Linked DNA regions of Coturnix japonica. The protein of the gene in region 1 purifies or fractionates together with the protein of each later gene. This does not show direct contact. Links are inferred from orthologs where the notes say so. Each region holds a gene or a part of one and is shown in the gene's direction. Other genes may lie near its edges.

The links.
Region 2: the proteins of LUZP1 (region 1) and DAPK3 purify together in Homo sapiens (affinity purification with mass spectrometry; 3 studies listed by BioGRID and IntAct, with this or other methods). This does not show direct contact. The link is inferred for Coturnix japonica from reciprocal best matches to the Homo sapiens genes LUZP1 and DAPK3.

The regions. Positions count from the first base shown.
Region 1 is NC_029538.1:1,522,956-1,526,760, forward strand, and holds part of LUZP1 (leucine zipper protein 1), read left to right. Parts: intron 1-1,926; 5' UTR 1,927-2,026; coding exon 2,027-3,805.
Region 2 is NC_029543.1:799,284-803,843, forward strand, and holds the start of DAPK3 (death-associated protein kinase 3), read left to right. Parts: upstream 1-1,658; 5' UTR 1,659-1,673; coding exon 1,674-1,899; intron 1,900-1,998; coding exon 1,999-2,098; intron 2,099-2,517; coding exon 2,518-2,878; intron 2,879-3,529; coding exon 3,530-3,659; intron 3,660-3,863; coding exon 3,864-3,912; intron 3,913-4,013; coding exon 4,014-4,040; intron 4,041-4,117; coding exon 4,118-4,270; intron 4,271-4,560. Other genes in the region: EEF2 (elongation factor 2), read left to right, coding at 1-153, 322-504, 579-711, 907-1,100. UniProt on the Homo sapiens protein: Serine/threonine kinase which is involved in the regulation of apoptosis, autophagy, transcription, translation and actin cytoskeleton reorganization. Involved in the regulation of smooth muscle contraction.

The DNA.
Region 1 (3,805 bases):
CAAAATAAAGGCAGAGAGGATATAGGTGAGACAGATGACAATGAGAAGACAAGAGAGAATGCTTGGAAGATAGAAGAGGAGAATGGGAGAGCGTATAGAGAAGATGGAAAAGTAGGAGTGGAGAAGAGAGGATACAGGTAAGGGAGAAAAGCAGAAGAGGAGAAAGGGAGAACAGCGGATACCGTCAGATGGAAGAGCAGAAGAGGAACAGACTAGAAGAGAAGAGAGGATACAGGTGAAACAAATGCAGAATTGGACCGAAGGAGGTCCGAGCTCTGCAGGAACCAGCTCATCGAGGAACTGAATCAGTTTAACAAAGGAACTGAGTCAGTTTAAGGGTGGCTCACCTACAGTAGCACGTCCCTTCCCAGCAATCTGTGCCCTCTTGGAGACTCCCATCAGCTCCAGGTCAACACGTAGGCACTGCTGGGAGTCCATCACCCAAGCCCATGTCCTGACAGTGGCTGCTGAGCCTGAGCTGCTTCCTGACCAGCTCCTGGCATGGCGTTAACCATTAACTCCCTGCTCCAAGGCACGCCGGGAACACTTGTTGTTTTTTAGGGCACTGTGAAATTGCTTTGTCCTTTCCTGCGACATTCCGGTGACGTTTCTTGCTGGGATCCTGCCTGGAGCTGAGCAGCCTTTCCTGTTTGCAACTGAAGGAGTCGGCCGCTCAGCAGAGCCGTGGGCCACGTGGCCTTTGTGGTCTGAGTTGTCCCTCAGCAGAAGGACTACAGGCTGTGTGCTACACACAGGAGGTGCTCGGGGTGTGTGGTGGGTGCCCGCTATGTGCTGTGGGTCCCTGTTTGCATTGCAGGCCCCTCTACCCATCAGGAAATGAATCAGCTTCGATCAAAGGCTTTGTACTGGGGCACTGCAGTCTCCTTTCCCGGCGCTGTCTCCTCCCCACATCCTGCTCTTCACCTCTTGGCACTGTGAAATAGGAAACTCCGGAGTGTTTCCTCTGCGGGGAGTTTCAGCAGAAATGCTGGAGCCACGTCCTGCTTGGAGGCAGACTGCTGAGCCAGGGTCTGAGAGCTGCAGTCACCTCCCCTTCAGACCAGAAGGCCAACAGTACCCTGGGCTGCATCGGCATAGGGGTGGCAGTGGCAGGAGGGGATTGTAATCTCAGCCATTGTGAGGCCCCATCTGGAGTATTGTGTTCAGTACAAGAGAGATATGGAGGTGCCCAAGGCCATAGAGGGGGGCCCTGGGCAGCCTGGTCTGGTAATCAACCCATGGCAGGGGTTGGGGCAGCTGTGGGGTCCCTTCTTACCCATCTGTTCTCTGGTTTGATGATTCTGTGTGCTTACCTAAGCTCTTGTACGTGCAATGCATAGTTGGGATCCATCTCAAGCCCAGGATGGCTCAGTGTTAATGCCCACAGTCAGAGGGGACTTCTTGTCCTTCCATCAGCTGTCCTGGCCCACTCACATTGTCCCCAGCTCTCACTAACCCTGCCCTGCCGGCTCTGAGCTGGGAAGAGAATTGCATTTACTGCATCACCTCTTGCCAATGTGTTGAAATTGCTGCTCTTTATCCCTGGCAACAGGGAGTAGAAAGCGTGAGTGCTTGCAGCTGCTGCCTGCTGGGTGCACGAGTGGGTGGCAGCTGAGGGCACTGACAGCTTCTGAAAGAGGAGGGAGAAACTCAGACCTTTATGACACAGCATCCTCAGGATGTGGCTGCAGCTCAGGTAATGCTGGATGCTGAGTGACGTGGGCTGCAGGAGGGGTACTGGAAGTGATGGGTACTGGAAGTGATGGGTACTGGAAGTGATGGGCAGTGCTGGCTGGCAGCAGCTGTCCCTAACTGGCACTCAGATACATGTTTAAATAAGACATAAATATTTGCAGTTAAATTATACTGTGAGAAAACATGTATTCTGAGCTCTCGTATTCACGTTAAGCATTTTGTTTCTTTCAGGTTGAGTTGCCTCTCTTCAAAGGAAGTATTACAAACCAGGAACACGCGTTAAGCACTCGGAATCAGCCAAGCTCCCATCTCAGAGGAACAGAAAATAAACATGGCAGAATTTACAGGGTATAAGGAGACCTCCAATCGGCACCTGAGGTTCAAGTTGCAGAGTCTTAGTCGCCGCCTGGATGAACTGGAGGAAGCAACGAAAAACCTCCAGAAAGCAGAGGATGAACTGCTTGAGCTCCAGGACAAAGTGATCCAGGCAGAAGGCAGCAATTCCAGCATGCTGGCTGACATCGAAGCCCTGAGGAAAAGAGTGTTAAAGATTGAAGGCAAGGATGAGGAAATTAAGAAGGCTGAAGAGCTTTGCAGGTTAATGAAAGAAAAGCTCGAAGAGGAGGAGAGCCTGACTCGAGAGCTGAAGTCGGAAATTGAGCATCTGCAGAAGAGAATGGCAGAGCTGGAGAAACTGGAGGAGGCCTTTGGCAGGAGCAAGAACGACTGCACACAGCTGTGTCTGAGCCTCAACGAAGAAAGGAATTTGACCAAAAAGATATCTACGGAGTTAGAAATGCTCCGAGTGAAAGTGAAAGAACTCGAAGCATCCGAAGAAAGGATGGATAAAACGGAGCAGAGCTTAACGGGTGAGTTAGAGAAACTGAAGTCTTTGGCACTGAGCTTTATCAGTGAGAGAAAACATTTCAACGAGAGAGAAAAGCAGAATGAGAAAATAATCCAGGAGCTCACACTGAAACTGGAGCAAAACAATAAGCTGAACAGGGCCGATCAGACCAGAAACTCATCCAACCTGCTGGAAAGGTCATCAAATAATCTCCTGGATAGAAATGATTTGAGAATTGAAGATGATTTGACTTCTGCATTGCCCTCTAAAGAAACCAGGCGGAAGGGAAGCGTAGATTACCTGAAACATGTAGAAAACGAAAGCAGGAATAAAGCGGAAAACCAAAAGAATAAAAATCAGGAAGACAACAAAGTGAAAGATCTCACCCAAGAAATCGAGAGGCTTAAAACTCAGATCAAACATTTTGAATCCTTAGAAGAAGAGCTTAAAAAAATGAGAGCCAAAAACAACGACCTGCAAGACAGTTATTTGAGCGAGCAGAATAAAAACAAACTTCTCACTGGTCAATTAGAGGAAATAAAGATGCAGATAAAGAAACAGAAAGATCTGGAAAACGGAGAGGTCGAAAATGAAGATGCAGGTTTCTCTAGCAGGGGGAAACATGACAGAGCTAAATACAGAGTTGTTGCAGCAGATTTCACAGCTGCCAAGCACAAACCAAGGGAGGTTTCGCCCCAGCAGCGCCGGGAAAGAGTGAGAAACAGAGATTTCTCCTTCAGCAATGACAGCTCTGGCCATGGTGGTAAGCAGACATCCAGCCCGAGCTTAATGAGCAGGAAAGCAGGAAAGTCATCGGGTGCAGCTGCCCTTGGAGATGCTACTGCAACAGATATGAAAAGACTGGAAGAGAAATGTTTGGTTTCCAGTTTTTCATCCGGTCAGAAGGAATCTTCCTTCACGCAGAATGAGGGGAAGAGATCCAAAGAGCAGCCCTCTGTCCTCAGCCGTTACCCCCCTGCTGCTCACGAGCAGAAATCTTGGAAAGCACCTTCCAAACCCGTTAGTGACTTGAGATCCAAGGCTGAAAAACCATCTCAGGCAACTCGCGGCAGCTGCCAAACTGGTGCAGACACACGGGATGAAAAGTCAAGTAGAGGGGAATCGGTGGCTTCATTAGCTGAGAAGCTGAAGGCAAATCAGGGTGAGGTGAGCGATGCCATGGGGGACACACAGCAAAGCAGGGGGCACTGCGCCTCTCCCAATGGCGTGGCCACTGCATACAGGTGCCACATCACAGCAGCA
Region 2 (4,560 bases), on another chromosome or scaffold:
TACGAGTGGGACGTCGCCGAGGCCAGGAAGATCTGGTGCTTCGGACCTGACGGCACCGGGCCCAACATCCTGACTGACATCACCAAGGGAGTGCAGTACCTGAATGAGATCAAGGACAGCGTGGTGGCCGGCTTCCAGTGGGCGACCAAGGAGGTGGGGTGGTGTGAGTGAGTTAGTGCCTGTGTGGGTGTCAGCTTTGGAGCTGCTGCTCAGGCTGCCAGATGGGCTCAGTGCTGCCTGCAGCCGTGACTCAGAGGTGGGAGGAGCAGGATGAATGCTGCCTGGCCTGGTGCTGCCTCTCAACCTTCTTTTGCTCTCCAGGGTGTGCTGTGCGAGGAGAACATGCGTGGTGTCCGCTTCGATGTGCACGACGTGACCCTGCACGCTGACGCCATCCACCGTGGGGGTGGGCAGATCATCCCCACTGCCAGGAGGTGCCTCTATGCCTGTGTGCTCACGGCTCAGCCCAGGCTCATGGAGCCCATCTACCTTGTGGAAATCCAGGTAAGGAAAATCCAAGGAAATCCAAGGAAAGTGGAGTTGTGTTGTTTGCAGCCCCTGACCCCTCTGTCCCACAGTGCCCGGAGCAGGTGGTTGGTGGCATCTATGGCGTGCTGAACAGGAAGCGTGGGCACGTCTTTGAGGAATCCCAAGTGGCTGGAACCCCCATGTTTGTGGTCAAGGCCTTCCTGCCTGTCAACGAGTCCTTTGGTAAGTGTGTGCTGCCAGGAGCCCCATCACATCCCTGTGCTGTAAGGCCTGGAGCTGCCCTGGGGGGTGGGCTGTACATGGGGGTGCAGCTGTGGAGGGGGGGCTGCAGGACCCCGAGGGGCTGAGGCTCAGGGGGAGGCAGCTGGAGCTGTCAGACCCCGCATCCATCCCACTCAGCTCTGCTCTTCCCTCCAGGTTTCACAGCCGACCTGAGGTCCAACACTGGAGGCCAGGCCTTCCCGCAGTGTGTGTTTGACCACTGGCAGATCCTGCCCGGGGATCCCTTCGACAGCACCAGCCGCCCCTTCCAGGTGGTGGCCGAGACCCGCAAACGTAAGGGGCTGAAGGAGGGGATCCCGGCCCTGGATAACTTCCTGGACAAGCTGTAATCACCACCATCCCCATGTGCTGTCACTGCTGTGGGACTCAGCCTAAACACCATCCCAGCAGGCTCAAAGCGCAGTGACAGCTCTTTGCATTGTACTTAATCAGTTTCGTAGCGATTGGAGACTTATAACAAGAAAAAAAACCCCCACAAAACTGAACCGAACCAACCGAGCGCATTGATCCAGCCTTGGAGCTCTGTGTGTTGCACATCGTGGCCCATTGGGTGCCATTGTAACAATGAAAAGCGTTTCCACTCTGCTTCCATATTTATTTGACTTGAGGAATCTCTGCTTTATTGGGCTGGGGGAGAAGCTGAGGGCGGTGGGGGCTGCTCCCCCTTTATCTATGGGGGGGTTTAATGGAGCCCAATGGGGCCGGGGGGGGTTTGAAGGCAGGGAGCTGTTGTGTGTCATCGTCATCATGAGCATCAACCCGTGTATTAGTGCCACTGGAAGTAATAAATTTGATATGGTGATGATATGGCTCCTCCAACGTCGTGTCTCCTGCCGGACCCATCGCAGTGGGGTGTAGGGGTTCGATCACTGCGGGATCGATGCGGTATTGATGCGGGATCGATGCGGGATCGATGCGGGGCCGCCGGGATTCGAACCCGCGTCCTCAGCTCCGCCGGGGCGAGGCAGGGCGGCCCGATCCACGCATTCCAACATGACGTCACCCCCGTGGAGCCAATGGCAGCGCGCGAGGGGCGGGACATCTGGGATCTCGCAGCCAATAGCGGAGGAGAATGGGCGGAGCCGGCGGCTGTGCTGGAATGCGGCGGTGCGGGCGGGGGCGGCCCAGGTGGGGGAGCGGAGCGGGCGGGGGGTGCGGGATCGGAGCGGGATAAAGGGGGGGAGTGAGGGATCGGAGCGGGAATGAGCGGCTGATACCGGCCTGTAGGTGCTGAGAGGAGCGGGGGGAGCTGCCGGGCCGCCGCCATGTCCACCTTCCGGCAGGAGAACGTGGAGGAGTTCTACGAGATGGGGGAAGAGCTGGGCAGGTGAGAGGGGCGGGGGTGGGGGGTGGGATGGGGGTCGGGATGGGGTCGGGGTGGGGTCGGGATGGGGGTCGGGATGGGTCGGGATGGGTCGGGCCGTGTGTCCCGCAGCGCTGCGGGGTCTCCCGGTGCCGCCCCGCATTGATTCGGGCACGGCGCAGCGCTGCGGGTCCTTATATGGGACCGGGAGAACCGAGAGGGGACGGACGTCAGAGCGGGGAGGGGCTGCGGGGCTGCGTCCTCATCCACGGTGCCGGGGGGGGGTGAGCGACCCCGACCCCGACCCCATGGCCGAGAGATGGGGACGGGGTTGGGGTCCCACCGTGCTGCTCACGCAGGGCTCTATGGGGGCAGCTCAGCCCCCATATCAGTCCCTCCCCAGTCCCACACTGCGGGGCTGCCATCTCTCCCTCCTCCCCCAGCGGCCAATTCGCCATCGTGAGGAAATGCCGGGAGAGGAAAACGGGTCTGGAATACGCGGCCAAATTCATTAAGAAGAGACGATTATCATCGAGCCGCCGTGGGGTGAGCAGGGAGGAGATCGAGAGGGAGGTGGACATCCTGCGGGAGATCCAGCACCCCAACATCATCACCCTGCACGACATCTTCGAGAACAAGACGGACGTGGTGCTGATCCTGGAGCTGGTGTCGGGGGGGGAACTATTCGACTTCCTGGCTGAGAAGGAATCGCTGACGGAGGAGGAGGCCACGCAGTTCCTGAAGCAGATCCTGGACGGGGTGCATTACCTGCACTCCAAACGCATCGCACACTTTGACTTGAAGGTGGGGGGTCTATGGGTGTGGGTGGGAGCTATAGGGGCTCATTGGGGTGGGCAGATGTTGGTCAGCTGGGAGGCTGTCGGCCTTTTTGGACGCTGAGATGCTTTGCAGGTTTGTGGTTGTTCATTCATCATCTCTTGGTCAACTTCCATTGACCAACTACCACTGGTCAACTGTTGGCCAACCATCGGTCAGCTGGGACACTGCTGGCCTTCATGGCTGCTGGGACACAAAGCGTATGGTCAACTCTTGGTCAACTCTTGGTCAACTCTTGGTCAACTCTTGGCCTTTGTTGCTCTTGGCTCTTTGGCCAACCATTGGCCAACTGTTGGTCAATCGTTGGTCAACTGTTGGCCAACTCTGTGTCTGCTGGGACAACATTGGCTTTGGTGGCTGCTGGGCCGCACTTTTGGCTCTTGGTCAACCATTGGTCAACCATTGGCCAACCTTTGGTCTGCCAATGGGTCACCACTGGCCTTTGTGGCCATAAGGGAACACCATGTCTCATGGTCAACCTACAGCCAGCCATTGGCCAACCAAGACCCCGTTGGCCTTCTTGGCCACACATTGTAGCTGCCATGGTGTGCTGCTGGCTTGTGGAACACCTCATGTTCAGCACTGGGGTGAAGCACTGATCATCCTCCCCCCCTACAGCCAGAGAACATCATGCTGCTGGACAAGAACGTGCCCAACCCCCGCATCAAACTCATCGACTTCGGGATCGCCCACAAGATTGAAGCTGGGAATGAGTTCAAGAACATATTTGGGACGCCGGAGTTTGTGGGTGAGGCACAGTTTTGAACAGGGGGGGCTCAGAAATGTTGGCCTCATCCTGCAGGGATACCCCCAGGGGGGGTTATCTCCATGTGGGGCAGAGCTGGGTGCCCCATGAGTGTCCATACACAGGAGATGGATGCATTTGTGGGGACAGATATTTGTGTTTTCCCCTCCAGAATGAGTTTGTTGTCTCTCTTTTTCCTTCCTAAAGCACCTGAAATTGTGAACTACGAGCCGCTGGGGCTGGAGGCCGACATGTGGTGAGTGAGCCCCGGTGGGGGGTCAGGATGTCCCCCTCTGTCCCCTCTGTGCCATGTGGGGGGGACGCTGTGGGGCTCTGACCTCCTCTTTTCCCTTCCAGGAGCATTGGGGTCATCACTTACATCCTGTGAGTAGAGGGGCCGGGGGTGTGGGGTGCTGCAGGGGGTGGGGATGTGGGGCTGAGCATCCCCCCCATTGCTGCAGGCTGAGCGGGGCCTCCCCCTTCCTGGGGGAAACGAAGCAGGAGACCCTCACCAACATCTCTGCCGTCAACTACGACTTCGATGAGGAATACTTCAGCAGCACCAGCGAGTTGGCCAAGGACTTCATCCGCCGGCTGCTGGTCAAGGACCCCAAGTGAGGGTTGGGGTGCGGGTGTTGGGGGCTGACGTGGGTCAGACTGTGCCCCATATGGGTGTGGGGCATCTGTGGGGTCACCTGTGGCTGTAGTGGGTGGAAGGGAAGGAATGGGGTTGTGAGGAAGTGGTGGGTTGAGGGCTGAGCTGCACAGCCTGGCAGCCCACGAGCAGGGCCCCTGATTTTATGCCCCTCTGATCCCACCCCCCAATCCTGTCCCCTCTCTTCCTGTTCCCCCCATAACCCCGTATCTCCAACTCCATCCTCCCCTGTCCTGCCTTGCTGTCATT